Oryzias latipes: one gene and its partners. The main gene of each other region encodes a partner of the protein of the gene in region 5 in a complex. Links are inferred from orthologs where the notes say so. Each region holds a gene or a part of one and is shown on either strand. Other genes may lie near its edges. The genes, in order: mettl3, zinc finger CCCH domain-containing protein 13, rbm15b, rbm15, cbll1 and wtap.

Evidence for each region.
Region 1: cbll1 (region 5) and mettl3 share a complex: the UniProt entries of both Homo sapiens proteins name them as parts of the WMM complex. The link is inferred for Oryzias latipes from reciprocal best matches to the Homo sapiens genes CBLL1 and METTL3.
Region 2: cbll1 (region 5) and zinc finger CCCH domain-containing protein 13 share a complex: the UniProt entries of both Homo sapiens proteins name them as parts of the WMM complex. The link is inferred for Oryzias latipes from reciprocal best matches to the Homo sapiens genes CBLL1 and ZC3H13.
Region 3: cbll1 (region 5) and rbm15b share a complex: the UniProt entries of both Homo sapiens proteins name them as parts of the WMM complex. The link is inferred for Oryzias latipes from reciprocal best matches to the Homo sapiens genes CBLL1 and RBM15B.
Region 4: cbll1 (region 5) and rbm15 share a complex: the UniProt entries of both Homo sapiens proteins name them as parts of the WMM complex. The link is inferred for Oryzias latipes from reciprocal best matches to the Homo sapiens genes CBLL1 and RBM15.
Region 6: cbll1 (region 5) and wtap share a complex: the UniProt entries of both Homo sapiens proteins name them as parts of the WMM complex. The link is inferred for Oryzias latipes from reciprocal best matches to the Homo sapiens genes CBLL1 and WTAP.

The regions. Positions count from the first base shown.
Region 1 is NC_019876.2:17,632,689-17,637,418, forward strand, and holds part of mettl3 (N6-adenosine-methyltransferase catalytic subunit), read right to left. Parts: intron 4,067-4,730; coding exon 3,876-4,066; intron 3,794-3,875; coding exon 3,338-3,793; intron 1,501-3,337; coding exon 1,325-1,500; intron 910-1,324; coding exon 699-909; intron 620-698; coding exon 432-619; intron 1-431. UniProt on the Homo sapiens protein: The METTL3-METTL14 heterodimer forms a N6-methyltransferase complex that methylates adenosine residues at the N(6) position of some RNAs and regulates various processes such as the circadian clock, differentiation of embryonic and hematopoietic stem cells, cortical neurogenesis, response to DNA damage, differentiation of T-cells and primary miRNA processing.
Region 2 is NC_019860.2:22,017,666-22,022,550, forward strand, and holds part of zinc finger CCCH domain-containing protein 13, read right to left. Parts: intron 4,625-4,885; coding exon 4,201-4,624; intron 3,521-4,200; coding exon 3,324-3,520; intron 3,070-3,323; coding exon 1,831-3,069; intron 1,384-1,830; coding exon 775-1,383; intron 634-774; coding exon 493-633; intron 411-492; coding exon 210-410; intron 129-209; coding exon 1-128. UniProt on the Homo sapiens protein: Associated component of the WMM complex, a complex that mediates N6-methyladenosine (m6A) methylation of RNAs, a modification that plays a role in the efficiency of mRNA splicing and RNA processing.
Region 3 is NC_019863.2:6,227,164-6,232,537, forward strand, and holds rbm15b (putative RNA-binding protein 15B), read left to right. Parts: upstream 1-1,542; 5' UTR 1,543-2,101; coding exon 2,102-4,594; 3' UTR 4,595-5,363; downstream 5,364-5,374. UniProt on the Homo sapiens protein: RNA-binding protein that acts as a key regulator of N6-methyladenosine (m6A) methylation of RNAs, thereby regulating different processes, such as alternative splicing of mRNAs and X chromosome inactivation mediated by Xist RNA.
Region 4 is NC_019865.2:10,859,130-10,864,738, reverse strand, and holds the start of rbm15 (putative RNA-binding protein 15), read right to left. Parts: upstream 3,614-5,609; 5' UTR 3,450-3,613; coding exon 912-3,449; 3' UTR 1-911. UniProt on the Homo sapiens protein: RNA-binding protein that acts as a key regulator of N6-methyladenosine (m6A) methylation of RNAs, thereby regulating different processes, such as hematopoietic cell homeostasis, alternative splicing of mRNAs and X chromosome inactivation mediated by Xist RNA.
Region 5 is NC_019881.2:9,401,865-9,406,228, reverse strand, and holds the end of cbll1 (E3 ubiquitin-protein ligase Hakai), read right to left. Parts: intron 3,971-4,364; coding exon 3,864-3,970; intron 3,674-3,863; coding exon 3,590-3,673; intron 3,515-3,589; coding exon 3,441-3,514; intron 2,436-3,440; coding exon 1,454-2,435; 3' UTR 1,140-1,453; downstream 1-1,139. UniProt on the Homo sapiens protein: E3 ubiquitin-protein ligase that mediates ubiquitination of several tyrosine-phosphorylated Src substrates, including CDH1, CTTN and DOK1. Targets CDH1 for endocytosis and degradation.
Region 6 is NC_019882.2:7,320,535-7,325,719, reverse strand, and holds the end of wtap (pre-mRNA-splicing regulator WTAP), read left to right. Parts: intron 1-114; coding exon 115-293; intron 294-2,319; coding exon 2,320-2,474; intron 2,475-2,548; coding exon 2,549-3,207; 3' UTR 3,208-3,769; downstream 3,770-5,185. Other genes in the region: acat2 (acetyl-CoA acetyltransferase, cytosolic), read left to right, coding at 4,155-4,203, 5,060-5,185. UniProt on the Homo sapiens protein: Associated component of the WMM complex, a complex that mediates N6-methyladenosine (m6A) methylation of RNAs, a modification that plays a role in the efficiency of mRNA splicing and RNA processing.

The DNA of each region.
Region 1 (4,730 bases), on a different chromosome or scaffold from region 5:
CGCCCTGATCAAAGTGGTGTTTTTGGAATTTTTAACATGTTCTTGTGGTGTTTTTCTGATGATGGAGGACATGTAGGAAGAATATTAAGACAAAAATTGTATTTCTGAATCTTCATTTAAATCGTTGCTGGACGGGCCACAAGCCTTCCTGCTCCGAGCTATTAGCAATGGCGAAGGGAAGGGAGGCGGGGACGCTCCACGCCAGCGGTCCAGCCCATAACTCTGAGGGGAGTTTCTAATGAACTCAGCAAAAATTATGTTCAAGAAAACTGCACAGGTTGTTGGATTTTGGCTAAAAATGGCAAAATCATACATAAAATGCCCCCGGAACACAAGATGATGAAAGTGGGTTTTTAAGCACTGCTGCAAAGAATAAAAGGGTGGTGGATGAGGCAGAAAAGAATCAAAGATGCTAACTCTGCTCTGGTTACCTGCCAGTGACCCAGAGGAAGAGGAAGCCGTCGTCCTGCAGGGCTGGGATGTTGAGTTTCCTCATTTCGTCGTCGGTCAGAGTCCCATAGGGCAGCTCCATGTGGATGTCCCAGGGGGGGTCAGCCATCACCACAGCAAACTTACCCAGAATCGACACGTCCAGGTAACGAATGTCGCAGCAGATCCACTGAGAAATGGAAACGCTTTGCTGAGAGACTAGAATTCCCGCTAAGAAAAGCGCTCTCCGCCTGATGTCCCCTCCTCACCTGCGATGGGAAGAGAGTGCCCACGTTGCTGTCGGCGTCCCCCGCGCAGAGGCTGACCTCCGCGCCCCCCGTCTGCGGCCCCAGGCTGCTCTCGGCCTCCGGCGGGCTGTCGATCTCGTAGTGGACGTACTTGCAGGTGTCCATGTGGAAGCAGGTGTTGAGGAAGGAGCAGTCGCCCAGGCTCTCGTCTGTGTGCTTGTTGATGATGCGACTGAGGAGCAGAAACAGCAGAAAAACCTTTAAGCTCATGAATTTAAAGCGTTTCGCTTCACGGACAAAACCTGAACTGATCGGAACAAATGTAAGAATAAAAAGATGAGCGAGAAGAGTAAAAATGTAAAATCTGAATTTTATCCTAGAATTAAAGCAAATTACAAAAAAGCAATAGAAAAAAAAAAAGTTCATCCATAGAATTTAATGAGATGTGTGTCAAAAAGCAATGGCTATATAGTTAGATGAGCTGCTTTTTGTTAGATAAATGGCGCCATCTTCAGGTTGAAATAGGTAGTTTTTTTTTTCTAATATAAATATAAAACAGTGGTTTCTTCTAATTCAGCAACATCAAACCAGAGTGAGCTTTAAGAAGTCGAGGGGTCAAATGTTGGGCTTTGAGGCAGAAATCTCACCGGAAGTGCAGCTTGGTGCACGGCTGAGGAGCGTCCCCGGAGCGGACGCACTCCTCTTTGGTCCCGTGGTTGCAGAACTCTTGGACCTGAGCGCGTCCTCGCGAGCGGAACTTCTCCACGATGGACTGCTCTTTGGCGGTGCTGGCGTTCAGCAGCTCAAGGATTTCTCTGCTCACCTGCACACATGTTCAGAAACATGATGATGATGATGAAAGAGCATTGACCTCCAACCTGGGGTCAAATGACGATCAGCTGAAAGTAAATAAAACACTAGATTGTAAATTACATTAAAAAGAAAATAAAAAAAAGCAAACTTTGAAAAAGAAAATTTGAAACAAAAATAATTCAAACTTGCGGTAAAAGAAATATTGAAAATCAGAAAAACAATTAAGTTTGAAACTTAAGTTAAAACCCCCTTTATGTCTATTGATGTAAATGTGCATCGAACCACTTCTGCTGCAAAATTAACTGAATTTATCATCTACTTGAAAGCAAAAACTCAAGTGGAATTTATTTTTTTCAGTTGCAAATAAATTCGAGTCTGGAGGGGTTAAAAAAGAACAAATCTAAAACTGTTACCAAATGAAAAATTATGTTTTTTTGTCACAGCTGCTGTTTTGTATTTTCAACATTTCTTGGTGTTGAGACCATTTTTATGTGGGAGTGGAGCTTTGTTCACATCGCCCCTGGCAACAAGAGCACTTTCATTGAAAGCTCTGTTTAAACGAGGCTTTTGCATTCAAAGCTCTCACTTTCCAGCGGATCTAAACAAATTTTGAATGCGTGTTGAAAGTTAAACCAGGTTGAACTTCAGTCAGAGACTCGTACTTAGTAGTGACGTATGGATGGTGTTCCTTTTAATTCACAAAAGTGGCAACCATTTGAACATGAATCATGGAGGAGAAATGAAGAATTGTAGTTTGTGAATTCAATGACAGCAAGTTTTTCATCTATGAGAATAGAGTTGCCAAAGATTCAACTGATTTGCACGGCTTTGACATTTCACACCAAGCCTCTTCCAACAGTAGAAAAAGAAAAGAGAGGAAAGGAGAGGAATGTGTAATTTTGAGTTTAAAACTGCTTTTTTTTTTTTTTTTTTTTACTAATTTCCAGTTTGGAATTTCACTTCCCTTTAAACTGACCCTGATTTGACCCCAAACAGACCCCAAAAATGTAAAAAATAATGAAGCAACATTTAGCTTTAAAGCTGGAAGCTTCAATCATAACAAATAAAATAAATATTTTCTAATATTATCTCATTCACAAAAATGTCTCAAAAGGATATTTTACAAGAGTATAAATTAAAAATTTTCTTAACTTTTAGGACGTGAAGTTTATTTTATTAAATATCAAACATACTCGTGGTTTGAGTCCACGCAGTTTTCAAACGTTTTTCCACTTTTTGGCCAGAAAAGACCTAATATTTTTCTCGTCTGCGAGCCACATGTGACCATCAAAAGAGCCATATATGGCTCGCGAGCCATAGGTTCCCGACCCCTGTAATATTTCATCTTCTTTACATTTACCAAACACAGGTCCAATTTTCCTTACGGTTTTGCTGCTCAACATTGTTAATGGTTTTGATAATTGGACAAACTCAACAGCATTTAGTAGAAAAGACTTGGTTGATCTCCAGGTATGAGGTTTACATTCGTTTCTAATGTATCAGTCAATATCACTGAGCAATGCATAATTATGGGTGTAGATTTTGAAGAAAAGAAATGTTTACTAAGCTAAAAATGGTGATACTTATTTCCTCTTGGCAAATTAATCGTTGACTTTTGGATTTTATATTTTCTTCTGTTTAACTTTAATCTTACACACACCAGACACCGTTTTATTTTCTCTGTTTTGATTATCCGTGTTGTACACGAACGTTCCCTTGATGTGTAAAAATACATTGAAATCCCACTTTAGACTCTTAACATTGATTACTTGCTTTCCTCCGTCTTTCTATCTGTGAAAACATCAGGAGTGAGGATTCATTTCCGGCAGAGAAAAACATTGGATCACCTTCTTGCTTTGCTGCTCCTTGGTGGACTGCTGGTTTAACAGGCTCTCGATCTCCATGTCCACGTGAGAAGACTGGCTTTTGTTGCTCCTGCCCTTCTTCTCGGCTCCGCCCCCCGACGCAGAGGAGCCAGTCAGCTGGGAGCAGGAGGCGGGCGTCAGGGAGGAGATGGATGAGCGTGGAGGAGAAGCAGAGCTCTGAAGGGAAGGCGAGAAGCTGCCGGCTCTGCTACTGAAGGCCACGTCTTCTGCTTTCCTCTTGACCGCCGTCCTCTGGGATCCCGCCACGGATCCAATCATGGCCCACAGCTTGGTGTGATCCACTGCCACCACGACGGTGGAGGAGGGAACCGCGGAGGAGGCAGAGACGGACGTGGGCTGTCGGACTTCAATGAGCTCCTGAGCTGAGAACTTTAGCAGGAGGCTCTGGATGCATCCATGACTGGCGGCAGCTTCAGGCTTCAGACAGATAAACAAAGAAATCATAGTGTAGAACGCCGCATCCAACAGGTTCTTCAATGATCCCAGAAAACCACCTTACATTGTTGAGTTCATTACTGATGGCAAGGGAGTCTATAGGCAACGAAAGACTCAGGTCAGACAGATATCCCAGCAGCCTTTTCTCCAGCTCAGGATCCGGTGGTTTTTCTGTCTCCTCCTGAGAGCTGGATGGAGCTGGTGGAGCCGGGCTGTCACTCCTGACTGCAGAGCCATCTGGGACGGTCCCACTGTCTGAGAGACCAAGAAGGACCAACACATTGCATTAGAAAAGAAAAGAAAACGCATAAACACATTTAACAGTCGGACTCCGACTATATTTATATCTATTGTTAAACCATTTCCAGTCGTCTTTTAATTATGATTATGCTGTTTTGGCCAAAAGCCTGTGTTGTTTTTCTAAAGACATTTTTTCTTTAAAACGGCAAGAGTTCATCAGGCTTCGCCTCTGAATTGTGACCCTCTGCTGATATCCCATCACCCTCTATTTACACGCTCTTCTGCTAGCTTAAAGCCCCTCAACACTCCCAGCTTGTATTAGGGGTGAAACAAAAATAGCGAGCAATATCAGAGGTATCCAGCCGTACAGTTTTGAGCTGGATGTCAGCTCAGACGAGGAAAATGAAGACGTTACTGTATCTACTTGTTTGCCAGTGGATGGATCAGAGTGGAGCGGAGCTGGGAGACTTTCTGCCGCCCATTTCAAACGCTGCATCACAACTGAAAGCTTTTCCAAATAGTGGGTTTTTATCTGCTCCTGATCCATCCATCCATCCATCTTCTTAACCGTTTTTCCCTTTCGGGGTCACGGGGCTGCCGGAGCCTATCCCGGCCACTTGTGGGCGAGGTCTGTCGCAGGGTAGAATGTCCACAAACACACCACACACTCTCACACATA
Region 2 (4,885 bases), on a different chromosome or scaffold from region 5:
GTCCCGGCGAGCGCACAGAGCCTTGCAGCAGGGCCCCAGGTTGCTCAGCAAGCCGGCCCTCTCCACCCGCCTGTTGAGGGCCGCCATGTTCAGAGCTCCCAGGTCGTGTTCGAAGAGCTTCTCCAGGTCTGTCGGGACAGATTCTGCGCCGTGAGGAGGAACCGCAGAGGGGAGGGAGCGAACGCAGCGGGCTCGTCTGGAGAGCTCACCTTTGGGATCGTCCAGCTCCGACTTGCACACCTCCTTGACTTGTTCGAGCAGCTCTGGTCCGGCGAGGCGCTTGGAGATTCCCGCTCTCAGGAGCACGGCGCCCGGCGTGAAGCGGAGCAGGGCGGCTCCTGCGGCCCGCGGCTCCTGCTTCTGTTTGGGCATCAGGCTGGACCAGTCCACGTCGATCACGTCCAGAGGACCTACGGCGACGAAGGAGGTGCGGCGTGAAGCTTTCTTGCTGTAAACAAACTTACGATAAAAGAAATGCTTTGTTATCGGTACCAGTGACTTTCTCCTCCTCTGGTTGATCTTCTTTCTTCTGACTGTCGGCCAGTATCACATCCAGCTCGTCGTCACTGATTGGTTCATAATCTTCTCTAACGGACGCCACAGACTGCTCCTCTTCTTTAGCGTCATCGTCGCCTGAAAACACAGCGCACACAAAATCCCTTAAGGAGAGGAGGAGGTGAGGGTAAGAAGAATACTTTCTGAATTTTAGTAGGATTTTACTCCCTCCAGGTTATAGACAGGTCCCAGAGGATGGCTCTGCGTCAATGCCCTTACCGTCCACGCTGTCGTTCTTCTCCAGCTCCCTCTGATCTCCCACAGCTTGGTGACTGTTGCTGGGTTTCTCCTCTGCAGGACTGAAGGCTTCCCTTGGCAGCAGTGGCTCATAGTCAACCCTCTCCTGCCTGGCGTCTCCTCGACCCGGAGCCCTGGGGTCTCCGAGTGGCGGCAGGTCCATCATCATCATCCTCTCCCTCTCCCGATCAGCTCCCCTCTCGGCCCTGCCGTCCCTGTCCCGCTCCCTCTCTCGTTCGTGCTGCTGCATGATCCCCTCGGGGAGAAGGCGCTCGCGGTCTCTGGCGTCGCGGTCCCTCATCAAAGGTTCCCGACCCGGGCGCATTCCGAGGGTCTCCCGCCCACGGCCCTGCCAGTCTCTGGGCTCTGGCTCCCAGTCTCTCTGTTGCTGGAGGGGCTGTTGGAGGAGCGGCGGCTGCTGCGGCTGCTGCTGGGGCCGCAGCTCCTTTCGGTCGCGTTCTCGGTCCCTGTCAAACGGCTCCCGGTCCCGCTCCCGGCTGTCGTAGGAGCCGGCTCGAGACCTGGACCTCGCCTGCCTCTCAGAGTCGGGAGAGCTGCGTCTGGAGCTGTGGCTGCGGGAGTCTTGACGGTCTGTGAAACAAACGACTCTGCTGGATTACAAATATTCGAGGTTTAGGCCACTACTTTTCCCACCCCTGGTGGTGGAGATCCTGGAGTCACCCGACCCAGGAAACCAAAAGCCAGCAGGTGGGTGGTGGATCTCCAGGATCTGGATTACCCGGAATAAAGCCTGCAGTTTGTCTCCTTTGCGTTGAGGCAAGAAAATAGAACGTCCAATAATCAATGGGAATGCGTACATCGCCTCCGTCGTGTCTGACGTCCGTCTTTTACAGGAGTATTTCCCATCAAAAAGCCAGAGGAACAGGAAACAGGTGTGGGATTCAAAATAGAACTTTATAAGATCTTGGAGACGCAATAGAGCTCATGTAGACTAACTGACAGACTCCTCATGAAACGCAAGGCAGACGCGTGCACTGCACGGAGCAGCGGAAATCCGGTTTGAGAATGAAGACGTACCTGACGACGTGCTGCGGCTGGGCTCTCCTCTCCTCAGCTGGTCGATTCTGGACTTCCTCTCAGCTCCCGGAGCGTCCCCGAGCGCCGGCCGCTCCCTCTCGCGCTCTCGCTCCCTCTCCCGATCTCGGGAGTTGGCGCCATGCAGCCGTCCCCGGCGCGGCCGCAGACCCTGGTGGTCGTCCCTGTGTCCCGACTCGTTGGACGGTGAGCGGGGGCGCCGGGAGGACGTCCGGCTCTGGTTGCTCCCCATGCTGCTGCTGCGCGGTTGCTCCGGGGGCAGTTTGCGGAGCACGGGCTGCAACATGAGAGGCTGCGGGGCCATAGTCTGCATCAGCATGGGGGGGTCCTGGGAAAGCAGCGGGGCGATGGCAGGTGGGTTACACCTGTCTCTGCCCATCCTGGGGGCTCCGCCTCTCCTCAGAGTCTCCATCGGAGCTCTGTCTCCAGAACTGGGAGGGGCTTGTTTCTCCATAGGGACGCTCCGGTCCGTCACCTCCTCGTCCGACCAGTCACTGAAGTTGTCCACTTTGGAGAGCGGCGACGGTTCTGCGTTGCCTCCGGTTCCCCGGTGGTCCGGCCTCATGGAGGGGGGTGGAGTCCGAGGTCCTCTCTTCTTCTTACTGTGAGGCGGAGGCGCCGACGCGTCCTCCTCAGAGGCTTCAGAGTCTTCTCCTCGCGACCGCTTCCTCTTCCGGTCGAGCGCCTTCTTCTTGGCTCCTTTCCTTGGTGAGGGCATGAGCGGAGGCACGTCTGCAGAGGCGGGGGGCGGAGGCTCAGGGTTGAACCGCTCCGCCGGAGCAGCGAGACGGTTTCCACAGGCGGCTCCATCCTCTTTCCGAGCTTTCTTCATGCCCTTCCTCTGCGACTTCACCTTCTTCTTGCCCTCCTCGTTGGCCTGAGAGCCAGCAGTGTCTCTGTCTTCACCGCGAGTGGCGATGGCTGCAAGAGGCGGCGGTGGCGGCGGCGGAGGACTCGATTCGCGCTGGTCTCTCCCTCTACCGCGGGTCTCGGCTTCAGGGAGGTACTCCCCGCGCCTCTCTGCTCCTCGGCATCGCTCCGCGCTGCGAGGCTCCGGCTCCTCGATTCGGCCCCGTGCTTCCCTTTTCTCCGCAGCTCCTCGGCGCTCCTCGTCTTTCCAGTGGGGGGCTTTGTCGTCCGAAGCGGCGCCTCTCGGTGGCGACCGCGACAGGCGATCCTGAGGTCTCACCACTTGGCTGTGCAGACGGTGCTTGTCTCCACCTGGACAGGAAACAGTCGATATTTCAAAGCGTTTTTTTCTCCAACATTAGCAAAGATTTTCCAAGAAAAACTACGTTTGCTTTGGTAAAAGTTCCACATTTTTTTGTCTGACAGTAAAATTTGCACCGACAGCCAGAAAATGAAAAACATTTTAGCCAAACCAGAAGTCAAAGCATGCCGGTTGAGAAAGTGCTGCAGAGGCGCATTTCCTCCAAAAACAGGAGTGCGTCTGTTTTAAAGAGATTTTTTCCTACTGTCAGATGGAGGCAGACACACGGGGCTGGGGAGGAGGGGCTGTGGGTGGAGCTTGGCCGGCCCTCGGCCAATAGGGCGCTCACTTTTATCTTCGGCACTATTATAGCCGTCGCTGTCGGCCGGGCTCAAGTCTCTCGCCGCCCGCTTCGGGGAGGGTCGGGGGCTTGGGCTGCTCTCCACCCGCGCTCTCTTGCGACTAAAAAGGAATAGAAATCATTTTTTTTAAACATTAAACATACACATATATCGTTTTTTTTTTACTTTTGGATGAACACATTTCTGATTTAAGAAGTCTAAAACTGAAGTGTGTTGCATCTCTACAATGGAATATAAGGAAATAAAATATAAAATTATGAGAATAAAGAATATTGTCATGAAATATTGGGGGAAAAAAGTACTTTATAAAGTCTTGCTTTGTCACGGAAAAAGGTTAAGCAGATTTAGTGAGATATTTGAGCCGTGTGATGTCATCAGTCTTTTTTTTTTTAAATGTCATTTTCCATAATTTATAGTTCATTATTATTCTGATAAAATTTAGCCTTTTTTTCTTATAATTGTACGACTATTTATTTATCACAACTTTATTTTGTAACCTTTTCTCATATTTGTCTGTTTGTTTTCGTAAAATGTCCTTTTTTTTAAAAAATAATTGTACTTTTATAAAAATTTAGACTTTTTCTTATAACTTCACAATTTTATTCTCATAAACTTTGACTCTCTCTTTAATTTTACACCTTTATTGTCATGAAATGTTCACCTTTTAAATATATAATCTTTTCTTTGTCCAATGTAAAGCAATTTTTCTCCTAATTTTCTGCTAATTATCATAAATGGTGACTCCGTGCTGCATTTCAGAGATCTGGCATCCACACATACCTCAGCTTGCGATCCTCCCGGGTGTCTCGAACGGACCGATCCTCCCGGACGTCGTCTCTCCTCTCCCGCCTCTCCTCCCTCCCCCTCTCCCGTTCCTCCCACTCCCGCTGCCTCTCTCGCTCCCTTTGCTCCCTCTCTCTCTCCCTCTCCTTCCTCTCTCGCTCCCTCTCCCTCTCCTCACGCTCTCTCTCGCGTTCTCGCTCCCGAGCTCGCTCCCTCTCTGCCTCCCTCTCCTTCTCCCGCTCCTTTTCCCTCTCTCTCTCCCTCTCTCGCTCCTTCTCCTTCTCTCTCTCCCTCTCCCTCTCTCTTTCCCGCTCTCGGGCCCGGTCGTCCCGTCTGTCCTCCGACCGGTCTGTCCGTCGATCGTCCCGGTCGGACTCTTCCGACCTGCCTGGATATCTGGAGGGAGAGACGGCCCTTTGATCTGCAGGAAAAAGAGAAACGTGTAAAGTTACAAATGATACAAACTGGATAATTACATTTAAAGATGAAAAAAGAAAAAGGAAAGTCAATGTAAGGCTGCATTCTGCATGATGGCCAGCAGCAGACTCCTACTTTTTTAAATTTTATTATTTTGAGAAGGATAAATAATAAAATAAAAAAGCTTGGATTTAAACTCACAACTAAAAATTTTACACAAATCTTTAATTTCTATCGATAAATTACCTCCTTTAAAATATCAATA
Region 3 (5,374 bases), on a different chromosome or scaffold from region 5:
AAATTGCCTTGGATGTATTAATATTTTTAAGAAATTTGACAAATCTCTTATCCTAAATCCAGTAAATTTGGGAGTTTTTTTTCTCTTACTTTGCCCTTTTGTATGAAAAATTTAGGTAGGAGAAGCAACAAATTAATAACGTTTTCTACCATTTTATCACCAAAGTTAAAATGTGTAGAATTTGTTTGAAATGTATTAGTTTACTTTGTTTCTTTAAATTGTTCTAAACGGATCCAGAAGTGAAAGGATGTACAACAGTAGAAAAGGTGATGAACTGATTTAAGTAAAACTACAGTTATTTTCTATCTATCTTTAGAATTTAGAAATGAACATATTTGTGGGGTAAATGTTATTTGAAATTCTTTTATGTATTTCTTTAACTTTATTGTTTATTCAAAATGTATCTGGCAGTAACCATGCTTTTTTTCCAATTGATATAATTTAAAATATGGTTCCAATAAATTTCTCCTTTAGGTGTTATGCTTCTTTTTTCGCTAAAAGTATTATGTGTTTGTTGTTGCAATTTTTTGATTGAAAATATCAATACCATTAAGTGTTAAAGGAGGGTGTATTTCAGATTCCTCGTGATATTTAAGGTTAGAAGTCAGTAGTTGAATTACTCCTGAGACAAGAGCTTTCATTACACTCTTGAATTCTTTGCTTGTTACTGGAAAACACATTTTATTGAAGAACCTGTCATAATCGATGGCTGCCATTCTCATCAAAAAGATCAAATTTTTGATGGTTATATCATCATTGTTCCAAGTTATACTTTTGTTTGGTGAGAAATAATGTGCATAGCATAACGTCCAGGCACGACAAAACTTGCAGATACAAATTTTAAAGATTGACAGGAGTCTTTCTGATATTTACATTTAAAAAGAAATTGAAGACCCCCGATTTTATTATAAAATATTAAATGGGATAAAGTACCAAATTGATTTTGAGTCTTAAAGGCCTTTTTGAATCCAGTAACCATTAAATGTATAATTCAAATCTGAGAAATGTAGGAGTTCATAACCTCCTTTGCATGAGGGGGCATAAAATAGTTCTTTCTGAAGATAGTGACGTCTATTTTTCCATACAAAGTTAACTAAGAGGTTGTTTATTTCTTTGGAAGTTGAACAGAAGTAAAGATAAGGATAGATTAGGAGAAATTTCTCTTGAGATACCTTTCGCTTTAGCCAAGAGGATCCCGCCAAAAATAGATAGATCTATTTGAAGCCACATATTCATGACATCTTGCATTTTTTCTAATTCTCAAGGAGAAGTTTTGTGTTTGTCTAGATTTTCTGTCCATTGTTATACTGGTGCCTAAATATGTAACTACATTTTTAACAGGGATACCATGTTTTTCTTTAACCATTTTAACCTTTGTGCTATCCTAGGCACTTTAACATTGGGAGTTGGGTCATCTAGACCCACTAGACAGTGCTCTGAACCTTTTTTCTTCAATGATTTGTGATCTTCACTGGTGTCCATGGATTACATGAAATCTTTCCACCTTTATCCACCTTTGTCATGGTAGGAAGAACACGTCAATGCAAGGGTGGGGTCATAGGTTAGCACGAGGGTTAACTTTTTAATAATATTTGACATTTAACTAAACTAAGACGTAATCTCTATTGACGTAATCCAGAAGCGTTTGAAAAATAATTAATTATACTTGTATCAAGGTCAATGTGGTTTCTGTCTATTAAGAATAATGCAGTATCATCTGCTTGCTGTGTTATTTTGATTTCCTTTGAAAAATGGATAAACCTAATAAACAAGGACAATTTGGTATGCAGGAGTTTTCAAATCAAAACGTGCAACGTGCTTGCGTCACTACAGGCTCCGCCCTCCTTTGGGAACGCGCACATTCCTATTGTCCAAGATGGCGGCGCTGGTGCAGCTCTTGTGATGCTGACATGTTTTTAAAGGCTTCTCCTCTTTTCCCCGTAAATGTGTGACCACTCGGAGCCCGCTCTGGAAGCGCCCCCTAACCGAAGCAGCCTGCGCCGCCGCCGTCTCCGAGCTAACGCTCCCGGAATCCGCAGCAGCGCCGGATCTCCGCTGCAGGCTCGGAAAAAAAGTTGAAACTCTCCATCATTATTGGAAAATGAAGCGGCAGGCCGTGAGAGACGGCAGCCCATCCAGGGCCCTAGCCAAGCGGATTCGAGAGAGAGAACGGGAGAGCGCCCGCAGAGAGGAGCTGCCGCCGCCGCCGCCGCTGGCTCTGCTGCTGGCGGAGAGCCGGAGCTACCACCGGCGGAGCCGCAGCAGGGAGCGGGAGAAGCCGCGCCTTCGGGAGGAGCGCGCGGCCGCGCTGGAGCTCCACCACCGACACGAGCTCAGCCTCCTGGGCCGGCCGCCGCTGCGGGCCGCGGAGCTCCCCGCCGCGAGACCCGGCACGCTGGAGTACAAAACGCTGCTCATCAGCAACCTGGGCTCGCAGGTGTCGGACGAGGACGTCGAGGACGCGCTGTTCCACGAATTCAAAAAGTTCGGGGACGTGAGCGTGAAGCTGTCGCACACGCCGGAGCTCGGCCGCATCGCCTACGTCAATTTCAGACAGCCGGAGGACGCCAAGGAGGCCCGGCACGCCAAGTCCTCCCGGCTGGCTCTGGGTGATAGACAGCTCAAAATAGAGCCCATGTACGTTAGGAGGCGGAGCGTCACCCCCCCGGACGTCAGCTATCTACCTTTACACGCCCCCTATCCGTACAGACAGCGCTCCTTGTCCCCACCCGGGACCGGCGTGAGCAGCATGCGGGACCTCCGGGCCAGACACTTTGCGCTGGAGAGCCTGGGTCTGAGCAGAGACCGGGAAAGGCTGCTGGACTATTATGGTATGCTGGATGAGAGGGGGCGGCCCTACGCGTTCCCCCCCATGCCTGTAGTGGAGGACCTGAAGCCCGAGGATGACCAGAGGGCCACCAGCAACCTGTTCATCGGAAACCTGGACGGGAATGTGACGGAGGCTGAACTCAGGAGAGGGTTTGATAAATACGGCATCATTGAGGACGTGGTCATCAAACGGCCAGCACGCGGCCAGGGCGGGGCTTATGCCTTTGTAAAGTTTCAGAACCTTGACATGGCCCACAGGGCCAAAGTGGCCATGCAGGGCCGTCTTATTGGTGGAAACCCAATTAAAATCGGATACGGCAAAGCCAACCCCACCACCCGACTGTGGGTGGGCGGTCTGGGACCAGGAAACTCGCTGACCGCTCTGGCGCGGGAATTTGACCGCTTTGGAAGCATTAGGAACATTGACTATGTGAAGGGCGACAGCTTTGCTTACATCCAGTATGAAAGTTTGGATGCAGCCCAGGCCGCCTGTACCCAGATGAGGGGCTTTCCTCTGGGCGGGCCAGAGCGCCGCCTCAGGGTGGACTTTGCTAAAGTGGAGGAGAGCCCCTCCCGCCCATTTCCCCCTGGTTACCAGCTTCCTGTGCCTCCCCCCACGCATTATGACCTCCTTGGAGAGGCCTACAGTCGCCATCGCAGCCTGGAGCGCGAGCTGAGAGGAACCAGGGAGCGCTCCTCACCGCCCTCCCACAGCCTCCTCTCTTTGAGAGAGAGGGTCCTGCTGGAGAGAGAGTTTCCCAGCAGCCCCACCCGAAGCCTGGACAGGAGGGTGGGAGGAGTGGAGGCGTTTGGAAGAGCTGGCCGAGGGGCGAGGAGCCGCAGCAGGAGCAGGGAACGCTGGCTGAAGGAGAGGGAGGAGAGGAGGAGCCGCAGGAGAAGCAGAAGTCTGTCTGTCGACAAGCAGTCGGAGGAAAAGGAGAAAGAAAAGGGAAGGTCGAGGGTTCGAGTTCCGGGAGGCACCGCCTCCCCTGATGCAAGCCCAGACCGAGCACGGGTTCGAGCCCCGGACTCCACCACTGAGCCAAGAGACCACTCCCCTGACAGTGGTGGAGGGGGGCGACACGCAAATGCCACAGAGGAAGAGCCCCCATCCAGCCGTCACCACAGCAAGAGGTCCGCGAGCGTCAACAACCACCATCGAAACAGCGACGTGGCCGCCGCCAGCCCCCCCGCTGCCCACACGGACACCTCGTCCACCCTGAGCTCGCTGTCGGAGTACGCCCAGGGCTCCCTCACCAAGGTGTGGCAGGGCTTCTTTGCCTTGAAGAACAGCAGCTTCCCCACGGAGCTGTACATGCTGGAGGGAGGGGCCTCCTTCCTGAGCGGCGTTTTGAAGGACAGCCTGAATCTGCAGAACCGGAACCAGCCAAGCCAGTTGAAAATTGCCCAGCGCCTGCGCATGGACCAGACCCGGCTGGACGAGGTGTCGCGCCGCATCAAGCTCGGCCGCCCTGACGGCTTTGCCATCCTGCTGGCTCTGCAGGGCGCCATCGACCGCCAGGCCCCCGCCCCTGAGCCGGGACTGCAGATACGTCTGCTCCGGCACCTGGTGACATACCTGCGCAACAAAGAGGCGGCGGGGGTGGTTGGTCTGCCTGCCACCAAAGAGGGGGGCACGGGTGGGATGCTGTACGCCTTCCCCCCCGGTGAGTTCTCACAGCAGTTCCTGCAGGCTGCCCGGAGGACTGTGGGTAATCTGGACGAGGAGCACATGGTCATTGTGATCGTCAGCGACACTAATTGAGTCTGGTGCCGGCTCAGTCCCACACTACAAGTCCTTCCATGGTTTGCTGGGGGGCGTGTTTTGACTCCTCTGTCGAGGTTCCCCTCCGACAGTCACGCCGGGACGCATTCAATTAAAAAAAGCAGAAAGGTCGTCGCCCCGACAGGCAGCACGCCGCCCTTTCTGCTTCAGGTGGAACTGAGAACACTAATGCCTAGCCTGATGGTTTCTATGCTTCATACTTTATGTGTTTGTATCCTGGTGTCACCTGACCTGTGCCGACACCTCCAGTGACATGGAGACTTTCTGCAGAGCAGCTGGACTGTAAGCTGATGCCGGCTGATCGAGTCTCTCCTCTCTGGACTCTACCAACTTTTTATTTATAGTTCAAAGGCTCCTGGGCCAGTAGACAGAGTCCCGGCCGTCCTAACCACTCCGCCGGTGTTTTTATCAGATCGCTCATTCCACACTTCACTTTGCTTTTTATGGTGCCAGAGTGTTTTCTCTGTTGTTGCATGGACTAGAATGAATTTCTATGGATAAAGATGTAAACTACCTTGTGGAGACGTTTTAAAAAAATATTTTCGAGTCGTACTGTTTCAATTTTTCTTTTTTATTGTGGACATTTCAAACTTCAGTTTTTAATCTGTCAGTCCATCCACACTTGAACTACTCGTTTTAATTTCTGTCATCACATGTCAGCACTTTGATGGGATCAAACCATTTCAGATGTTTCACATCAAGATGAAAAAGACAGTAAAAGACGACGCAAATAAAAATAATTGGGAAAGAAAAATCTGT
Region 4 (5,609 bases), on a different chromosome or scaffold from region 5:
GCAAAAAAAAAACAAAAAATTTCAGGAACTTGATTCAATAAAACCTGACCCCTCCCCCAGCAAAAGTTCACAAAACTGCAGCTGAAATACATGGACTCTAACCAAATGGTGACCTTCAATTAACTACTGTGGAACCGAGGTCAAACACAGAGCACAACTCATTTTTTCTTTGAAACTTTTAACGGAAATGGTGTTATTTTAACTAAAGAACACGGCTAAGTTATCGGATGTAGTTCCATTGAAGAGTTGTGTGATGTGTTTTAACCTTATTGGAATATCTGTTCTCCCTTTACAACAAAAATATTTGTTACTGCCATTCTATAACAGTTAATAGAACCATTTATTTCCATTTCCTCAAGTATCTTGAGTTCACAATTTACTCAAAGCAGAAAGAGCTGACAATTCACTGCACTTTAGGTGAAGGTAAGGGGGGGTTTGCTGTTTTTTTCAGAATACCAACAATAACACCATCAGCACAGGCTGAGGTAATGCAACATAGTGGATCAGAAAAAAAATGATCTAAAAGCAAAAATTAAATAAAGTCATTTTTATATGTTGGGCTTCTTTTATCACCGAGTTATTGTGTAAATACTCTGAGGTTTTTCATTCTTGCAGAACATCTGAATTTTAACTAATAAATCCCCAAATCATCAATTTGTAATGAAGCATTTGTGACTGATCAAATTCAAATACTCACTTGATATTTTTAAGATGAACCTTTTAGTTTGGTTGCAGGGCACCATATGTCTTTTTAGTGAATTACATGGCACCTTACAAACACTCAAGAACCATACTAGTGTACCCCACAATGCAGAACACAGCATGCAATAATTACTGACAAACAGCAGACTTGTTTTTTCTTATATTCCACTTGAACATAGTGCATTGTGACTTTTTCTCTTTTTTTTTTTTTAAGATGCTCCACGAACCACAATCATGACCAGATAGTCTTCTTCGCTTTTTGCCAGAGCTTTTGCAGAGGAATCCAGGAATTGCTGAGAGAAATCACAGGGGGGGAAAGCATGAAGAACCCCTGTGTTGTCTTTATCTCTGCTCCCTCCCACAGGCAGACTGATGACCCCAGCTGCTTGTTTTTGGTTGAGGTAGGACACCAGGTTGCGAAGGGGCCGCTGGGTTGAGGCCATAGGATCAGATGAAGAGGAGTCCTCTGTGCTTCCAGGAACTGCCAACAGGATGGCGTAGCCGCCTGGACCGGCGACTTTGATGCGCCGAGACACCTCATCAAGCTTTGGCTGGTCCAGACGGAGACGCTGCGTGATCTTTAGCTCGCTCACCTGCCTTCCGGTTGAGCCGTCGATGAGCAGGTCGCTGGCGACGCCGTAGTCACCTTCTAGGAGATGCATGCTGGCTGGAAAGTTGCTGTTCTTCAGGAGCAGCATTCCGCGCCATGCCACAATGAGTTTGGTGCCATCAGGTTTGGATTGCTGGGCTCCTTTAGAGCTGCTTTCAGAGCGTTCTCTCTTGGCAGGCACTTTGCCACTGTCGCCCGCTTTGCGTTTCCGCTCACCAGCAGATGAGAGTCCTTTCTCAGAAAGACTCTGGCTTTTAACCCTTCGATCCGCCCCACCTCTTTCAAGGCTAATGACATGTTCTCTGGCTGGTGAGGCCGTTTCACTGTGCACAGGATGCTCAGAGTCACTGAAACGTCCTCCGTCTCTGCTGCTGCCCCCAGGACTGCCATCTGGAGAAGAACGTCTACGTCTCACTGTCCTCTCAGTGCTGTCAGGAGAGTGATCTAGGTGACGGCCATCCTCCAATAAGCGTCTCTTACGTCCTGGTTCTCGCCCTTGCAGCTCACGCTCCAAAGACCAAGGCTCTCGAGTTCTCCGGTCGCGTTCCAAATGTTCCAGAGGCTCAAAGGGGGATCCCCGGACCCGCTCACGAATGGCCGGGTTGGGCCACTCCGTTGCTGGAAAGAGTTCTCTGTCCCTGAAGTGAAGTGGAGGTGGAGTCCGATCTCTGACTCTCAGAGGTTCAGGCGTGGCGCGGTGGACAAACGAGTCAGCCACCATGTCAAACGGTGGAATAGGGAGAGGCTGCAAGAACTGCTGCTGGTACCGGTGCTCAGTGTCTGCGAAATCCACCCGAAGTCTTCTCTCTGGGCCTCCCAGCGGAAAGCCTCTCATGTGTGTCCATGCTGCTTGAGCAGCATCTAAACTTTCATACTGGATGTAGGCCCAAGTGTCACCTTTTCTGTAGTCAATGGTCCTTATAGTGCCAAAGCGATCAAATTCTCTGGCCAGGGCAGCTAAAGGAACCCACGGTCCAAGTCCACCGACCCACAAACGGGTCGTGGGTGTTGCTTTTCCGTAACCGATTTTTATAGGGTTGCGACCCACTATTTTTCCAGACATGCTAAGCTTAGCACGATGAGCCATGTCAAGGTTCTCAAACTTAAGAAATCCATATGTGCTGGTCTGTCCTCGTGATGGTCTCTTGATGTCCACCTCTGTTATGACTCCAAACCTGTCGAAAGCCCGCCTGAGGTCTGCTTCTGCAATGTTTATGTCCAAGTTGCCTAAAAACAAAGTCCTGTTTGCTCTTTGGTCGTCTTCCGGAGATATTAAATCCTCTTCACGAAAAGCTGCTCGCTCTGCAAGGAAAGCTGGACGTGCCCTGGCTTCAAACAGGGCGAACTCTCTGTCCCGGTCCAGTTCTCTGGGCAGAGGGGGCGGAGGGGGAGGAGGGAGCCGTCCCAAAGCCAGCTGCTGCAGCCGGTAGTCTCTGTAACCCAGGCCGGTGGGCGACAGGGGTCTCTGCAAGTGTCTGTGACTTTGTGCTGCGCTGTACAAGTCCCTCTCCACGGGGGAGCGGCTTCTCCTCCTGCTCGTGTAAACGGCCTCGATCTTCAGCGGCCGGTCGTAGAGCACGAGCCGGCCTCTGGCGTGTTTAGCAGCCCTGGCGTCCTCCGGCTTCCTGAAGTTAACGAAAGCAATCCGTTCGTCGTTGCTGCGACTAATTTTGACGCTCACGTCGCCAAACTTTTTGAATTCATGAAAAAGCCCATCTTCTATATCCTCCTCGCTCAGCTGATTCCCAAGGTCGCTGATTTTGAGTGTTTTGTACTCACTCTCGGTGCTGGGCGGCGGAACACGCTGCTCCGCGCGCGAAGAGGCTCGCGGGGAGGCTAGGTCTAGCGACAGGCTCAGGTTGTGGTTTTTACCCACGGAGCTGGAAGCAGCAGACTGACAGCTGTGATTATTTCCAGTCCGACTATGGCCCTCAAAATCTCTGTCCCTTTTCTCACCCAACAAGCTCCGTCTCGTTGAGCCGCTGTCGCTTTTGGACGAACTGTTTCCATTATTACTCCCACTGGAAACGGAGAGAGCCCCCATTTTCTTGCTGGTCGGGTGGCATCCTCCCCTCTCTCGAATGTCGTCCAAGGCCCGGGACCGTTTTTTAATCGGCGACCGCTCCTTTCCTTTCATTGCAGCCCACGAAGAGTAAACTCTTTGTGGTAACTGGCTTTTTCCTGCACTCCTTCCACAAAATAATGTAGAAAATATCCAATACGTTCAAAGAATTTATTTACCGACCCTGCGGCAAAACAACAACAGTCGCCATTTTGTTAAGATTTGTGAGAAGACCCGCCTCCATGCGCTGATTGGCCGGTGTTTGGGGGGCGGCGATTGGTTAAAACCTTTTAAAATCCCGTCAATCACGCACACAGCGATGGATTAAAAAATGGGTCATTTCAGAATAAACCTATTTTAAATAATCCACATGCAAAACTAAGTGAAAATAATTACTGAAAATAATTTAAAAAATGCCAAATAAGCTCAATGTACCCCCTAAAATGCATTTTTTCTTGTCCCGTCCCCCATTGTCCAAATTAAATCTTCAATAAAAGCAGTTAAAATTAAATTTTAGATTCAGTTTTTGGTATATCTTGTTTTGATTGGTGTTTTATGTAACCGTGGGATTTTTTTAAATAAAAGAAGTATTTCAAATATTATTTATGATCAATACAATGTGTTTCCCACCGAATCCACACAATTCCTTTTACCATAACAGGTAAGAGGGTTAGAATATAGCAAAGAGTGATATGCTGGACTTGACATCATCAAACAGTATTCAAAAAGAATGGGTAGAGCAAAAGTTACGTGGATCTTTTATTTTTAACACATAGTTATCCTAGATTGAATGTCTCACTCCGCCTCATGCAACCCTGTTTCCCTATAATCAGAGTAAGACAATTATTGTTATTGTTGTTGCTTTTTTATGAGTAAGTAAGCAATCAAATTAGCATGTAAAGTAGCAACTGAGAAAAACAAGATATCACCATTCATTCTGGGGTGGTCAGAAATGCAAAAAGGCATGCCATTGAAATCACATTAATTTTCTTATTGGTACTCAGTGACAGCTAAACAACTAGCGTCTACTCCTGAGAGAAAGTCAATATTAATACATGTTTGCAACCCTGTTACTTGCAAAAATTGATAACAAGGTTGCATCAAGTCTTGTCATCATCAATATAATGTCATAAATATTTCGCAGTTGATCTGTAAGCAAAGTTAATCAAGCCTTTGACAGATATTACCTTTTATTGACGATTATATAGCAGAGAATTAGAAAAGTCAAAGTTTGCTCTTCATGAATTTTGCAGCCCAAATGTCCTCCAGTTCTGGAATGACCCAAATATCAACATATTAACTGAATATTAAAAGATACAAACAAAAACACATGGACATGTTCCATATGATTTATTTTCTAAATCGGAAGCCTCTTTGCAAGTGTCCAGAAAGTAGTGAAACTGGAAGTATGATTTAAAATTTTTATTCATTTTTCATTTTGTTTTACTGTATGTATGTGTGTGTGTTCTGAATTTGAGGTGTAAAGTGTATCAGGCATCATTCGAATTTGCTTTTAACGGAAGACAGGTGTTCTTTAATGTACCACAAGATGGAAGTGGTCAAAAGGTCTGAAGGAAAAATAGGAAGTCAAATTTACCCCAAGCCTTGTTTGATCAAGCACACTTTTTTCAAGACAAGCTGGTAAATGTACTGGTCACCATGTCCGTTAGCCGAGGACTGTTGAGCGTGGAAACCACTATCCAGGATGAAAAATCCAAGATGCATGAATACATCAAGCTCAAGGCCCCAATTGACAGTGTGCTCTGTGAAAGTCTCAGGCAATGGGGAGCAGAGGATGCGGTGCTATAGGACAGATCCTCATGGGAGGACAAGCCCCTACATGGGATGTCCCATTGGACCATTAAGGAAGTGGCTTATGTCAAGAAGTCCTACCAATGGCTAGAAAGGCCTGGCCTACAGGACAGCACTGAAGCATTCATCCTGGCAGCGCAGGAAGTGCAACTTATTCAAGTTATAAACTGACCAAGCAGATGCCTCAATAAAAGCATGTGGTCAAACAACAAGAGTTAGATTGACTGATTCTCCAGAGCACACTTTCAAGTGGTAGAGGAGTGGACGTCCAACAAGCTCACTCCTGATTGGGGAGAGTGGTTGCCATAAAAATGCTATCTCAGGCCGACTCTGACTGATTACTGCTCATTAACGATTTCTGGTTCCAACACGGCGATGTTAAGAACTGCAGACTGAATTGACGAAGGTCTTTGGAACTGGAAG
Region 5 (4,364 bases):
TTGGTGAAAACCCTGGAATGCACATGTAAACTCCACACAGAAATGTCCCAGCCAGAGGTTTGAACCAGGAAGAGTTAACCACTGCAACACCGTGCAACCCACTACAAACCTATGTTAGGTTGTAGTGTCCACCTTCCCCTCAAAAAAAGAATAAGAACAATTCATGTTTCTGATTGGTCCACCATCTATAGTAGAGATACCTCTACCAGAGGCATAAAAACATGAATATTAATATTCAAAAGTAATATTTATAAAAATGTTTGTTTGGAGGTCGTTTACAACTGAGCTGAAACTGTTAATGACTTCCATCCTATTTTTTTTTTAAAACATATGAAGAGACAGAGGAGATTGGTACTGTGCTGTGGGTAAAAAAAAAAAAAAAGTGTTTAGAACCCAAACATCCATTAGCACACAGAGTGTTATCAACATTGCAATAAAGTTTCTGTTTGGTGGAGTCTGAACATTCTTCTACACACTTGAAAGTCATGAAAGTCTGCTCAGACTCACACAAACCTTTTAGACACTGGATTTCATGTTTTTTCTGTGCCTGTTTCATCAACTCCATGACTTTTTAAAACACGCAACTTCTGACATGAGCAAGGACCTTTGGCCTTACATTCCAACTCTACTTAGCGAGCGATGGTGCTGCCATTCTCCCATCTTATGCCTCAAAGCAAACATGCAATGAGGACCCAGCTGTGACTTGCATTGTTTTCAGAAATCTTACAATTTTACAATTACACTCAAACAAGTCAAACTAGAATGTTAATAAGACATGACAATTTTTTTCATAACTATTGTGGGGGAAAAAAAGTCTTGCAGTTAAGACACCAAACGGTAGCACAAGTACAACTTTTTTGTGAGACTGGCATAAAAGTTTGCATCATTGTCCTCTGATACTTATTTCATCTTGCTGCAGGTTTTTTTCTATTTATAAGTCTCTAGTTTTTTATTAAATGTTGCAAAAAAATTGAATTTCTTTAAAGGAAATAAAAAACATACAGCAAAGTCCTAACATCTGGGTTTCCTAAGCTTTTAGGAGATCGCATTTAAAACATTTTTTTTTTTATTACAGCAAAAAAGAACTTCTGATGTAATCAACTCAGCTGCTCCCAACTCATCAAATAAAGACAAGTAGGTATGACATGAAAAGTTTATTGAGAATGAACGTCTTTCACTTCAGCATTGACATCAGCAGACGTATATACAGAGATCCTTTCCAATAAGCTATTAAAAAAGGGACATTCCTGCTCTTCTCCAAATTATTAGTGCGCTCATGGGGAAGTGGAGCACAGGTAACTAAAATGTGCACCATACACACATTTGAATGTGGGCAGTTTTATCCAAATCAAAGTTCTACATCCTGAAATCCTGAGGTTCACTATCACATTACTTAGACAAGCGGTATGGAAAAGAACAACACCGACGACTTCCCACTCAACCAGCTTTCAGTTTACTGGTAATAAGGTCGATAGCGGCCCTGATCTGGGTGATGGGGGCCTGGCATCTGTCCCTGGGGAGGTGGACCCTGCATTCGAGGAGGTGGGGGCCCCCTGGGAGCAGGCCACATCCCAGGACTGAGTCCTCCTGGCTGGTTAAACGGAGGGCTGAGGGTGCCCTGGTCTTCAGGGAACGGCTGCATGGAGTTGGGGTTGTAGTGGTGAGGTGGGGGGGCATTCACAGGAGGTCCGGTGTGCTGTGGGGGAGGTCCTGGAGGTGGGTGATTTATATAGGGGGGCATGATGTGCCCTGGTGGGGGAGGCGGGGCTGTAGACATGGGGGGAGGAGCCTGGTTGTAGACCATGTGTGGTGTCCCAGAGCCCTGGGGGGGGTGCTGCATTGGGTGACTAATAGGAGGAGGTGGACCAAAGTGCTGTTGAGGTGGCGCCATCATGTGGTGAGAGTGTGACACCACAGGCGGCTGCCCAGGATAGTCTCCAGGGTGGTGATGCGGGGGCTGGCTGGGGCATGGCCCACCAGGATGGGAATCCCGTGATGAAGACGAGTCATCTTGAATGGGCACTGTGATGAGATTGCTGTGTTTACGAGTTGTTACAGTGGCAATGCGAAACGTCTCTGGTCCCAGAGATGGAGTTGGGGGAGGCCCGTCATGGGGGGTCGGTGGAGGCGGCTGACTGTAGGGATCGTGACTGCTGTGCATTTGGTTTGGGAGGTGGACATGGTTCTTAGGGATGTGAGGAGGAGGCACACGGAAGCGATCAGAAATTTCAGGTGCTTGTGGCAGATGCACAGGATCCTGGCGGCCCGAGGAGGACTTGGTGGCTCTCATGTGACGGTGGTTCACGTGGGCTTGGAGGTCCCGCTGGGACAAGTAGGTGCGCTTGCATCCTGGTACAATGCTGCACATGTAGAGGGACCCTCGCTGGCACTGCTCGATGCGCTGAACTGGATCCGTGCAGTTATACAGACTGAGACTGAACACACATACAACAGTTGAGTCTCTTCAAACAGAAACCATAAAACTACAGGTTACGAGCAGCTTTTGCATCACACGTGTGTAAACCCTATCAAAATTCTCGAAATGTCAAAACAAATTTTTTTTCAATGACACTGTTTCCTTTAGATCCTAATTATGTGAATAAATACGAACCTACTCACGCGATAAATCATTAAAAAATATGGCGAGAGATGTGAACAATACTTTGACAACAGATCCAAATTTCTGCCATAGCACCAACGCTCATCATCATTTATCAGAGGAGCTGTGGACCCAACAATTCCACATGACACGCTCAACTTTTGATGAGCTGTGTGACGCTTTGGGACCTCTGGTGGCGCCCGCTGTGCATTCCCCAAGACAGCCAGTTCCTACCAAAAGACGCCTCGCCATCCGGTTGTTGGTCATGGGGCTCATTTAGTTTGAAAAAAGTGTTTCCATTGCAGTTTTGTGAAATATGTCAATTTGGATATGCCTCAAAAACAACCACCTCCAAGCACAAAAACTTTTTCTTTTTGATAAATACTAGCTTAATGTCGTGTTTCAATCAGGTAAATTTATTATCCTAAATCTAATTTGCGCTATTTCATATTCAACGAAATAGACTCGTGTGAGGGAAAAAAGTTACCCGTAACCAAGAAAGTGTTTTTTTTAAGGCTGCATTAAATCATAGCTTCAATGCTTAATAAATTGTTTCAAAACATTTTTCACTTAAAAGTGCTTTATGTTTCTAATTTTGCAACCACAAATGAAATTCCTCCAAATGTAAATTTACAGAGCAAAAATTATTATACTGCCATATATATATATATATATATATTTTTTTATTATTTTACTAATATTTTCCAATCTTTTGTCAATTTGTTAGTAACTTTTCTATTACGTTTTGTCATTAAGCAGCCACATAAAAAAACTGTTTCCAATTGTTCAATTAACAGAGAATTAAACAGAACTACACATTGAAGATGGAAACATGTCTCACCCTGGACACATCTTCTCGCCTTTCTTCTCATGAAGCAAAGCGCAGTCATAGCAGAAAACATGCTTGCAGGGAATCTGAAAGATGCAAGGTCAAGAGTTAAGCAAGAAAATGTTGACTGAAAATGACAGAAATTGAAATTCTGCACATACCATCCGTCCATAAAGTTGAATGGGGAGACCACATTTATCACAGAAGTGAATCGGAACTTCATCTCTTTCACCGATCAGATTTAGCTGTTGGAAAAGTCACTTAAAATGTTGAATCACATACTGGTAAAATATACTCAAAAACAGAAACTTTAACAGTATCGTTCAAAAAAACAACACCAATATAGACAGAACTCATTTTGATACTAACTTAGGCATGAAAATGCTCTTTCATGACACTGTCAGCAAAGTGAAACCGTCTTTATAGCCACCATACCTTACAGTCCCATAACAGAGGCTGCGGAAATCTTCTCTGACTTCCAAACACATCCCCAGCTTTAGCGCCACAGTCAAACCGATCCTCCTGCTTGAAGCCGAACTTTTCTGAGAAAGCCAGAGAATAACACAAAGATGCTAAAAAAGCCCACAACACCCACAGGGTGCAGTCCTCAGCTCAACCCCAGAAAAGTGCGGTAACATTTTTTAAAAAATTGTTAAATTGATTAAAACTAAATAATAATTATAAAGTTATTTAAAGATATGATAGATTATTGTAGGATAAACACATCAAGATTGACATGCAAGCAATGTAAGTCAGGTCAAGTCACAAGAGAGCAGCCTCATTAGGGCGGCTGTTGGGCAGTGGTAGGGAGGTCGACCTCCGAGCAGAAGATTACGGGTTCGATTCCCGCCTTGGCCCGTCCATGTATCGAAGTGTCCCTGGGCAAGACACTGGTGGAAGGTTCAGCATCAGAGCCACCACCAGTGTGTGAATGTG
Region 6 (5,185 bases), on a different chromosome or scaffold from region 5:
TGATCTATTTGAAAGCAGTTTTGTTACATTTTTAAAGGGAAGATGTTTAGGTGTTAAAAGCAGCTTCATAATGTGTGTGACTGGACTCTAACACCTGCCTGTTGCCTCCTACAGACACAGATCCAGTACCTGAAGCAAGTCCAGCAGCCGAGTGCAGCCCAGCTGCGGTCGTCCATGGTGGATCCAGCCATCAACTTGTTTTTCCTCAAAATGAAGGCTGAACTGGAACAGACTAAAGACAAACTGGAGCAGGCCCAAAATGAACTGAGTGCCTGGAAATTTACACCTGATAGGTAAAGACAATCAAAATATCTCCCCCCACCTAAAAAAAAAACAAAACAAAAAAAAAGTCAAGACTTCCTCACGTCCCCCAACCTCACTCTCACTGCAGGCATGCAGGAGCAATGGTGGGGGGGGGGAGAGGCTGACAAAAGCTGTGCTCACCGCGAGGCTCAGACTTGACAGAAATCCAGACACTCCCAAACCAAACTGCTTTTGCACTCTCGCACCGTGCCAGCTACACATCACACAATTTAAAGAGAAAAGACAGTATGGTCAGGTGACACTTGTTTCGGCTCTCTCCTCTTATATCCCCCCGCCGTCCAAAGGGCCCGATGGAGTCCGGACTGCTCTGAAGAGGTGGTCTCTCATTTCTCCACATGGAACTGCCTTCCATGCCCCCTCAGACAGTTCACATATTAAGTAGGGGGTCATGGGAGAAGTTGTGTCCGGCAGGGAGCATCCCTAGCCTAAAGCGGCAATCGAACATTTAAAAGACATTTAAAAAGAAAAAAGACATTTAAACTGTGGATTGCTTCACATAAACAGTAGCTGTCCTGAGAATTTGAAAGACTTTTTGGACTCTCAGATACATTTGAGTAACACCAGGAAAGTCTCTAGAATTTAAAAGTCAGAGACATTAGAAATGACAGTAAGACTGAGCGGAGCAAGTTGACAGAAGAACCACGTTCAGGCGTGAGGGTCTGCTGTCTTTGAACACGGGCCTGCACACGGTAGTGTACTTTTGTTTTAACCTTGTAATGTGTTTTTTGTTTCTTTTCTTTTTTCTTTGATTGACATTCCATTTGATCCTTCTTGTTTCCCTTAGACTCTTACTGCAGTGTGTGAATCCTGCAGCACGACGATCTTCTTTGACTTTGTTGTGAATGTTTTTTTTTTTTTGCACAAGTGACACTTTGGGATGATCGCATATCCAGTTATTGCCGTAGGTGTGTTGAGTCCAGTAACTGAGTTGTAAACTGCAAATGTCCTTGGCACATTGTGTTACGAGTTGACCGAGATGTATTTATTCATTCTGTGTACTGTTTTTGATTGACCTAATCATTTTCCCCACAGCTTAATAACAAAAGAGTTACTCTTTATTTTTATTTTTTTTCATCGCCAGTGTGGTGAGATACTTGTGGACTTTTTGTTTGTACACTAAAATAATTAAGTCACGGTTCTCACCAGGTGAGATAAGAAATGTTTGACATTTATAGGGGTTTTACAAACATTTTCTTTCAACACAGGAAAGAGAAAACTTCAAATTCAAACCAGTATGATGAAAGTTAGAATTACTGAAAATGATGATAAAAAACTTTGGAAGTTTTTATTTTGTTGTTGATATAACATTAAGGCTCTGTACTTGGTATGGGTGACTTAATTTAATATAAAGGGAATGGAAGACATTTAATTATGGTCTACATGTCATTTTTGGATTCACTTTGGCTTCTTGAGTAGGGCACAATGACATGTCACCGTACTGTTTCAGACTTTTTGTGAAGCCAGCAGTATCAAGAGCTAACTGTACTGTGAAAAAAACTGCTCTTTATGTTTTTAAAAAAAAAAAGGATTGCATGACCTTTTCAACAAAGATTTCAAGTTTGAAGGTTCTTTTGTGGGTTTTTTTTTAAATCAAGATTTGACTGTGCTTTGTTTATAACTTTTTTTCCACATCCTGAAATATTTCCGATTCTAATTTTCTCATGCCTTTATTTTTTAGTATTAACCGTTTTCTATGTATAACACAATAACGTAGTTTAGAGTAAAACGATAGAATCGAAATGCCTTAAAAGTCAGAGCATCATTTAGGTTCATGGTTTCATATGTCTGTATTGAACAGGCATCAGACGGCATGTTTAGGTTACTTCAGACGTCTAACTGATGGAATGAAAATGCTTAATAATAGCTGTTAATGACATTGAGGAGTTCCTGGTAAACCCTTGGACAGCTGGAGAGTGAAGAGGAACAGGTCCATGCTAACATTCTGCCTGTTTTCACTTGGTTCACTGTGTGATGTGAGACTTGTTTCCCTTACAGCCAAACAGGGAAGAAACTGATGGCCAAATGTCGAATGCTGATTCAGGAAAACCAGGAGCTGGGGCGGCAGCTATCGCAGGGACGAATTGCCCAGCTGGAGGCTGAGCTGGCCCTGCAGAAAAAGTACAGCGAGGAGCTCAAGAGCAGTCAAGATGGTGAGGAAACGAAAAGCTCCCGTACCCAAATGTCCTCTGTGCATAGATTAAACTAAGCTTATTCTTACTTTCAGAGCTGAATGATTTTATCATCCAGCTTGACGAGGAGGTGGAGGGGATGCAGAGTACCATCCTTGTCCTGCAGCAACAGTTGAAAGAATCCCGTCAGCTGATTTCTCAGTCTCAGGGGCTCTCAGCCGGAGCAGAGCCCAGCAGGACTTCACCCGCTGCTTCCAACTCATCTGCTGAGCTGTCCACAATACAGGAGCCCAGCGCTGCCTCTGAAGCAACAAGCAGAGACTACGGGAGGGTGTCCAATGGTCCAAGCAATGGTAAGTCATCTCAGAGGAGGGAGACCACCACCCCACCCAACTTATACCGGGAAGTCAGTAGCACTGAGGAAGATTTCCCAATGTCCCCCATGGTGTCCAGCCCTGGTGACGCTGAGACCAAACTCTCCAACCACTCATCGGAGGTCCCCGGCAGTCAGACTGCTTCCAGGAGAGCTGGAGGACCTGTGGGTTTCGGAAACCAGCTGAGTGCGGGCTACGAGAGCGTGGACTCTCCAACAGGCAGCGAGACGTCATTAACTCAGCACTCGAATGACACAGACTCGACCACTGATCCCCATGAAGACAAGACTGCCTTGGTGACCAAAGGCGCTAGGACTGCAGGGTCAAGGAACACTCAGAATGGCCTGGAGGGCAACACGAACGCTGGTGCCGATTTGTAATGTACTTTAGAAAGTACTGTCTTTTTTTGTCTTTTTTTTATACAATCTACAAACAAGACAAAAGCTAAATAGTATGTGATGCAGCACTGCTGTCCAAGAAGTTTTTTCACTCTTGTCCCATTGTGTATCTTGATGCCTTTGTTACATTTGTGTAGCTTAACAGGGATATAACAACAAACACTAAATGTTCAATTTGAATTGTGTGGGATTTATGTTTAAAAAAACTTGAGGTTTCACTGGTGTTTATTTGGGCACATCATCTATGCCGTTAAGCTCATGACACTGAAATCCAGCATCTGGTGTTGTTAATCATTTCAAAAGGTGTTTGAATGACAGTAGTTTCACCAATACAAAGAAAGCAAGAACGTCATTTTTATGTTGGCCTCTTTTTTTTTTTTTTTTTTTTTACTTGGTTGGTTTTTTTAAATACAATTTTTGTTTTAAATTGGAAAAAGTTATGTTTGATAGACTTCTAAAATGTGAGTTCATATGTGTCATTCATATTCTGACTTCAACCCTTTTATGTACTGACCAAAAACAATAAAGATTTCTAATACTTTGATGGGGGAACTCGTTATATTTGTCACTGGCACCTATCATGAAGTACAAAATTACATAAGTATAAATTAAACACATTCAAGTAGTTATTTTTATGAGAGAAAAATATGAACGCAAAGCTAATAAACTTTTTTTATGCACCATTTGGGTTGTTTAAACATCCCTGAAGAATGAAAACAGTATTGTAAATAGTATTTACGGAAGTTCATTTTCAAAGACTTGCTATGAATCCTCCAGACCAGTTGGTGGCGCTGTTTCTCATATCAAGGGACTTGCATAAATACCATTCATGCGTTCGTTCATTCAGTTCAGTATCAACTGAGTCGTGTGTAAGTGAACTGACAGAAAGATTTCCTGAAGACTAAAGCTACTCCAGCATTCTGAACAAGATGAACGCCGAGCCTGTTGTTATTGTTTCTGCTGCACGTACTCCAATTGGTAACGTAGCTCATATATATTTACCATGATTTCTTTCATTTCATAGTCCCGTGAATCATATTTCGAATATTTTGTCAAGCCAACACAACATGAAAACATTTTGCATTTCTAACTGAATTGGTTTTACGCTTATCATGTACTTTTTTGTGGTACTTTCCTTCATGTTAAAGGTGTCTTTTGTAAATAGGAAGGTGGTTGTGTCCAACGCGCTGTGTATTTGCAAAGTTACGATTGGCTAGCTCCTGTGTCCGCAGTTTTCTCTTGTTTCTGATTGGCTGGCAGTCATAGGGCCACGGAACACAAGTTTGCTATGATTGGCTGTTCACTGAACGTCTGTGTGACGTAGGGCTCTAATCTTTACTCCTTTTATTGAATCACGATAATTTGGAAAAAAAAGATAGAGCCGTTAAACTGTAAGTTTATAACAACATAAAGTTTAAATATTGTTATTATTTTTACACACTAGTTCCATCGCCTTTTTCTCATTTAATTTATTTTTAAAGTTCAGCCTGGACAGACAGAGGACAAACATGATGAAGGAATGTGAACAAGTGAATCTTCTTTAGTCATGTTATTTTTTTGAAGTAAAGTTCAAAAGATTCATTCTAAGGCAATGTGATAAAGAACTTGCTACAGTGTAAATAATTCAATGCAATAATTTAACTAAAATAGTTAATTAAAAAACAAAATTGTGTGTTTGTATTGGTTTGTTAGTTGTGCTTTTATTTGGTCAATGCTATTCCTAAGGTTAGTATTTCTCAGTGAACTTGTATTTGGTGTTGACTAAAGGCGTTTATGTTTTAAAACAGACAATACTCCTTATAGCCTATTGTCATCACTTCTTTGTTTAATGAAGGATGTCTGAACGGTGCTCTGTCCACACTGTCTGCAAGTGACCTGTGTTCAGAAGTCATTAAGGATGTTCTAAAGCGAGCTGGAGTGAAACCAGAAGAGGTCTCTGAGGTTGTTTTGGGCCAAGTCT